2 linked regions of the Danio rerio genome follow. The protein of the gene in region 1 purifies or fractionates together with the protein of each later gene. This does not show direct contact. Links are inferred from orthologs where the notes say so. Each region holds a gene or a part of one and is shown in the gene's direction. Other genes may lie near its edges.

Evidence for each region. The genes of interacting proteins can lie anywhere in the genome.
Region 2: the proteins of wdr59 (region 1) and nprl2 purify together in Homo sapiens (affinity purification with western blotting; 5 studies listed by BioGRID and IntAct, with this or other methods). This does not show direct contact. The link is inferred for Danio rerio from reciprocal best matches to the Homo sapiens genes WDR59 and NPRL2.

Annotation. Positions count from the first base shown.
Region 1 is NC_133193.1:7,060,687-7,064,435, forward strand, and holds part of wdr59 (GATOR2 complex protein WDR59), read left to right. Parts: intron 1-1,837; coding exon 1,838-1,916; intron 1,917-3,012; coding exon 3,013-3,136; intron 3,137-3,749. UniProt on the Homo sapiens protein: As a component of the GATOR2 complex, functions as an activator of the amino acid-sensing branch of the mTORC1 signaling pathway. The GATOR2 complex indirectly activates mTORC1 through the inhibition of the GATOR1 subcomplex.
Region 2 is NC_133181.1:20,689,270-20,693,018, reverse strand, and holds part of nprl2 (GATOR1 complex protein NPRL2), read left to right. Parts: intron 1-1,974; coding exon 1,975-2,143; intron 2,144-2,248; coding exon 2,249-2,357; intron 2,358-2,494; coding exon 2,495-2,631; intron 2,632-3,749. UniProt on the Homo sapiens protein: Catalytic component of the GATOR1 complex, a multiprotein complex that functions as an inhibitor of the amino acid-sensing branch of the mTORC1 pathway.

The DNA of each region.
Region 1 (3,749 bases):
GTTAACTTGGCAGATTATAGTAATTAGGCAAGTTATTGTATAACGATGGTTTGTTCTGTAGACTGTGGGAAAAAAATTGCTTAAATGGGCTAATAATTTTGTCCCTAAAATGGTGTTTAAAAAATTTAAAACTGCTTTTATTCTAGTCGAAATAAAACTAATAAGACTTTCTCATGAAATAAAAATATTATCGAATATGCTGTGAAAATTTCCTTGCTCTGTTAAACATCATTTAGAAAATATTTAAAAAAAGCAAAAAAATCTTATTAAAAAAAAAATCAAATGGGGGCTAATATTTCTGACTTCAACTGTGTATTAGCAATTTTTTTTTAAATATACATATATTTCCAAAAAACATTTCCAATATTGCCTTTGCAAAACTTCTCAAGCCAATTACAACGCTCATTTTGATTTGCGAGCTTTACTGTTTGACGATTTAAACACCCCCCCCCAAAAACAAAAGATTCAGGTATTTTACTTATTCTCGATTAGATTCATGACAGCGATTCATGGCTGATTTCTTTGGCTGTTTCTCAATATGCGTTCTTCAGTGGTCTTGCGTCCTCGTGTTCTCGTGCAACGTCATCATCAGCTGCCTAAGTTCAGTTCCAATACTCAAGACCGCAAGTACGGAGGACGCGTGAGTCACAGTTCCTGTGACTCCGCCCCCTTGCCAAATCGGGGCCAGAAATTGAAACCCACAGAAATGTAAAGTGCAAAAAGAAAACAGCATTGCAAACTGAAAAGCACATCAAAATGAGCGTTGCAATTGACTTGAATTGAAAGGTTTTGTAAAGGCAATACTGGGGGAAAAATTCGCAAATATATGTATATTTTTTAAAATTTGCAAAAAAAACTTTCTTTGCACTCTTTCTTTCCTCAACTCAATTTTCCCTTTTTTATTTATTTAATTAATTTTTATTTGACAATTTTTTTGCTCAATACTTTATTTTTTGTTTTGCAAAACTTTCTTTTATGTTGCAAGTATATATGGCCCTAGATTCAAAATCTACAGACAAACTGATGAAGTGCAACAAAATGCACACTTAAAGATGTATTTTTGGATTTTGACTTTACATTAGACTGACCAAATCCTAGAATTTACAAATGCATGAAAAGAAATGTGTTTTTGGCTGCTGAAAGTTGCTTTAAAGGGGACCTATTGTGCTAAATTCACATTTATAAAGAGTTGTGTGACATTAGTTTGTGAATATATAGCCAGCCTCTAATGGTAAAAGTCAATTAATTCTATTTTATTCTAACAGTCTACATAAAGTTTCAAAAAATTCATTCATTTTCCTTTGGCTTAGTCCCTTTATTCATCGGGGTCGCCACAGCAGAATGAACCACCAACTTATCCTGCATATGTTTTACACAGCAGATGACCTTCCGGCTGCAACCCAGTACTGGGAAACATCCATACACACTCATTCACTCACATATACTAAGGCCAATTATGTTTATCCAATTCATCTATAGCGCATGCACTGTGGGGGAAACCGGAGAACCTGTTGAAAACCCACGCCAACACGAGGAGAACATGAAAATTACACACAGAAACGCCTACTGGCCCAGCCGGGACTCGAACCAGCAACCTGCTTGCTGTGAGGCGACAGTGCTAACCACTGAGCCACCATGTCGCCTTTCAAAGACCTATAAAACATTATTTGTGGGGTATTTTGAGCTAAAACTTTACAAAGACACTCTAGGGCAATCAGAGATTTATTTTACATCTTATAACAAGGGGTATTATAGGCCCCCCTGTAAATGTGTCTTTTTTTAAATTAGCGTGAGTTTGTGTTTATATGTTTGCCTTTATAAATGAATTCTCTTTTAGCCCAGTTTCACCTCCAGTTCTGTCACTTCTGGATCGTGTTCAAGCACCTCAGACTCTGCAAACACTCCCTGGAACACAGGTGAGATTTCATTCATAGAGTTTAGTGTTTATGAAAAAAGCAAAATCTTTATTGTGTGGTGGTGTGATTTGGTTTTTACCCTCTTCTTTGGTTTTATAACAACAGATTGGGCTGGATTAGTGATTGTTAATTGATGAAAAATTGCGTCTGTCATGTTACGTAATGCATTTATATATCTGCAAAACATTTGATAATTTATTTTGTGTAAATTGTTGTGTATTTATTAATAATATTATTAACATTACTAAATAATAATTTTAAAAAATGTATAATAAACCTAAAAAAAAAAATAATAATAATATTTAGGTATTTAATGACATAAGAAAACTCGCGGATGTCATGTGAAATAATGCGTTTATAAATGTGCGAACATAAGTAATTATTCAAATTAATTATAAATATTAATTCACAGTAGTTTATATTGTTATTTGGTTTGCAATTAATAAGATTAATAGGAAATTTTATACGACAATCTATTATTTATTATTAATTTATTTAATTACTACTATGTTACATTAAATATTTAATTATATACGAATATGTGCATCTGTCATTTAAATTAATGCATTTAAAATTGTGCAAACATTTGATAATTTATTTTGTGTAATTGTGTAATTTATAATAATTAATATTAATTTCTATTGTTATTTGGTTTGCTATGAATAAGATTAGTAAGCAGTTTTTAATTATTTAATGACATAAGAAAAACACTTCTGTAAGCTAATGCATTTATAAATGTGCAAACATTTGACAATTATGTTAAATAACAAAATAATTATTGTAAATTTGTGTCAAATAATAATTTGTATTGTTATTTGGTTTGCAATTAATAAGATTAAGAAAATTCAGATTTCAGATTTTATTATTTATTTAGTTACATTAATTATTTAATTAGTTGATCAGTTGGTTGGTCTGATTGTTTGTATTAATTGTATTTAATAGTAGTGTTCTATTATTTTCAAAAAATAATTAGAATATTAATATTAAGAAGGATTATTATTGTTATTATTACTTTTTTAAAAATGTAATTTATTAAAAAATGTTATTTTAAATGTTGTTGTAGATATTATTTGGAGTTTGTTGTTTCCTTTTTCAGGTGGACGTGAGTCAGAACATCCTCCTTCATGGGGAGAATCTACTCCGGATGACTATCGCTATGCAAACCAGACTTACACAGACCCGCGAGAACGAGAAAAAGAGCAGCACGACATGAACAAAAGGTTTGACGGAACACACTAACATCACTTTAATACCTTCAAACATAAAGAACGAGACTTTAATTGTGCTGTATTTACATTTTTGACTCTTCTAAACCATAAAAATACCAAAATATGTTTGCAGATATTTAGGAAACAAGCCAAATGAACATACTTGTTTATCTGAGAAACAACGCTAAAGTCAGATATTCTCCTTTAAATATGTGTGTCAGGATGTTTGTTTGTTTAGTTATGGTCTCTATAACCAGCCCACTACCAGTAACCTCAGCATCTGAGGTTGCCTTCTATTTTGACTCTTCTAAAGCATAAAAATACGATAACATGTTTGCAGATATTTAAGAAACATGCTACTGTAAGTGAACATACTTGTTTATCTGAGAGACAACGCTAGAGTCAGTTATTCTCCTTTGAATACTGTATGTGTGTGCCATGTCAGGATGTTTGTTTTGTTGTGGCCTCTATAACCAGCCCACTACCAGTAACCTCAGCATCTGAGGTTGCCTTCTATTTTGACTCTTCTAAAGCATAAAAATACGATAACATGTTTGCAGATATTTAAGAAACATGCTACTGTAAGTGAACATACTTGTTTATCTGAGAGACAACGCTAGAGTCA
Region 2 (3,749 bases), on another chromosome or scaffold:
CTTTTATCCTTTGGATTGTTGTCTTGTTGCATCACCTATCCTCTGTTAAGCTTCAGTAGGAGGACAGATGGTCTTACGTTTTCCTGAAAAATGCCTTGATAAAGTTTGGGATTAATTTTTCCAACACAGATGAAGAAAACGCACACACATACACAAACAATACTAAACTACTTCTAGGCTGTCTTGCTCTCCAGCAGGCATCTTATCAGGATAAATCCTGGAAGAAGATTCTGAGGAAAAAACTAACTTGACACACAGAAAAAGCAATGACACATCTGGTCATCATATAATCTAGGCCCTTAAACACAAATTCAACTTTTGATATTGGACAGATATCTGCAACTTTTGCAAAACACTGGCATATTAGCTTTCTTAATGTGCGCATCTCCCTTAAGTTAGGCCTATTATTAAAAAAAATATATATATATACACACACACACACACACACACACACACATATATATATATATATATATATATATATATATATATATATATATATATATATATATATATATATATATATATATATTTTTTTTTTTTTTTTTTTTATATATATTTATATACACACACACACACACACACACACACACAGTTGAAGTCAGAATTATTAGCCCCCTTTTGTTTTTTGTTTTTTTTTTTATATTTCCCAAATTATGTTTAACAGAGCAAGGAAATTTTCACAGTATGTCTGATAATATTATTTTCTTCTGGAGAAAGTCTTATTTGTTTCATTTCGGCTAGAATAAAAGCAGTTTTTAATTTTTTAAAAACAATTTTGGGAAAAAATTATTATCCCCTTTTAGCTAATTTGTTTTCTGATAGTCTACAGAACAAACCATCGATATACAATAACCTGCCTAATTACCCTAACCTGTCTAGTTCACCTTATTAACCTAGCCTTTAAATGTCACTTTAAGCTGTACAGAAGTGTTTTGAAAAATATCTAGTCAAATATTATTTACTGTCATCGTGACAAAGATGAAATAAATCAGTTTTTAGAAATAGGTTTCTAAAACTATTATGCTTAGAAATGTGCTGAAACAATCTTCCCTCCATTAAACAGAAATTGGGGAAAAAAAATAAACAGTGGCTCTAATAGGTCAGAGGGGCTAATTCTGACTACAACTGTGTCTGTGTGTATTTTGCCTATAGACCTACATAATCACTAATAATGTTCTCTTTAAACACTTAATAGGGGCAGAACACCCCATGACACGTTTTGTATCTTTGTTTCGTTGTGTAGGTTACACAAGTGTTTTTTTTTTTTTTTTTTTAATCAGATTTAAAAAAGAATTTTTTTATATATATTTTTTTTTACTGTTTTGCTATTTTCTTAAAAAGATAATACAGTATAGGCTATATAACTTATAGGATACTATTGTAAGAATATATGAGCAGTTGGTCTTCCAGGGGTCTTTTCTTTATACTTTTCAACTTTCCACATTTGTTGTTGTGCTCTACAATTTCATGTGTTTGTGGGTCAACCAGTTATTAAACCCAAAGGTTCACATCCTTTTTCAATCTAGGCCCTTAAACACAAAGTCAACTATATTAACATTCATAAAGTCATAAGAAAAGATATGTGTTGCTTCGTCCTGGAGCAGACATTCATCAGAAAATCCAATCCTTCACTATGTGTGTGTATATCACATAAACTTAATAAATGTATAAAATCAACACAAAACTTTTATTCTTTCCAAAAATTTGCCCTTTAATCTTTGCCCAGCACTAGTTTGTAGAAATATATTTAATTATATTACTGAGTCAAATTTTGATCATTGAATTCCAAATGAAAATTTCACTGTAGGCATAATTTACTAAATAAAATGGTACAGTAGGTACTGCTTTTCCTTGTCGTAAGTCCTTTAAATCCAACTTTATAAAAAATAAAAAACAGGTTTTCACGTGTTGCAAATATAACTTTATATGTATTAGTAATCATGCTGTATTTTATCTGTAAACCGAATAAAGGACTGCCATGGAGAAGAAACTTATTGGCTGTCCAGTATGCATTGAACATAAGAAGTACAGGAGGAATGCCTTGCTCTTCAATTTGGGTTTAGTCTGTGATGCCAGTACAAAAACATCTGCTTTAGAGCCCATTGTCAAAAAGCTGGCTGGATACCTCACGACTCTTGAGGTAAAAGTTAATTTAGTGTGTACACACACACACACACACACACACACACACAAGTATTCATGTTTTATATATTTATTAAACATATGATGAATTGTCCTTGATTAGCTTGAAAGTGGATTTATTTCAAATGAGGAGAGTAAGCAGAAGCTGTTGCCTATCATGTCCACACTTTTGGAGGATCTTAATATTACAGGAGCCTGCACCCTTCCTATTGGTATGTTTATTTATGAATCTCACTGCCCCCTATACATAAAAACAAATATACATAAAAAAAATACATTTCCTATGCGTTTATGAATCTTACTGGTTTTTATTGTTTTAATAATCCCCCTTTTTCCTCTCTCATGGCAGATGACTCCAACACCATCCACTTGAAGCTAATTGAACAAAGGAAAGACCCTTTGGTTGTTCAGGAGTATGATGTACCGGTATTTACCAAGAATAAGGACCACTTTATAAAGTCACAATGGGATCTTACCACACAACAGGTAAATAAAAAGTCCTTTCCTGTACTTTTATCATATCTAATTTCATTTCGGGTGGGGCAGTAGTAGTGCTGTCGCCTCACAGCAAGATGGTCGCTGGTTCGAGCCTCAGCTTGGTCAGTTGGCATTTCTGTGTGGAGTTTGCATGTTCTCCCTGCATTCGCGTGGGTTTCCTCTGGGTGCTCCGATTTCCCCCACAGTCCAAAGACATACAGTACAGGGGAATTGGGTAAGCTAAATTGTACATAGTGTATGAGTGTGTATGGATGTTGCCCAGAGATGGGTTGCGGCTGGAAGGGCATCTGCTGCGTGGAACATGTGCTTAGTAAGTTAGCGGTTCATTTTGCTGTGGCGACCACAGATTTATAAAAGGGACTAAGCCGAAAAGAAAATGAATGATTTCATTTCATTTAATAAAAATTATTAGACTGAATTAAAATCAAGCATTGCTGTTAAATCAATGACTTCTTCTTGCAAAAAAAAATTATAAAATCAAGAACATGCGATTTGTTGATTTAACTTTTATTTAATTGACAAAAGTACAAAGAAAAAAACTTCCAGTTTTTTCAGTGAGCAAAATATTTGTAATCTGGATTTAGATTGTTTTATATATATATATATATATATATATATATATATATATATATATATATATATATATATATATATATATATATATATATATATATGTGTGTGTGTGTGTGTGTGTATGTGTGTGTGTGTGTGTGTGTATATATATATGTTTGTGTGTGTGTGTGTGTATGTACTGTATATGTGTGTGTGTGTGTGTGTATATTAGGGGTGTCACGATTTCAATTTTTAATTGAAATCGATCGAAATTTATGCTCAATTTCGATTATCGAATCAAAAAATAGAATCGTCGATGCTGCCACGCCCCCATGTCACGTCAGCTTGGCTTGCCAAGCGGGAAAAAAACAGGCTTGTTGAAGTGCTTGTTCAACTGCAGAAGCAGGAGACCCGTCGACAGAACTTAAACCCTCTCCTCTTTCAATGAAGCCACCGGTGTGTAAGCATTTTGGATTTCCAGTGAGTTATGTTGACAACGTTCCTGTTGTTGACAAAAAAAAACACAGTTTTGCAAGCTCTGCTATGTACGTATT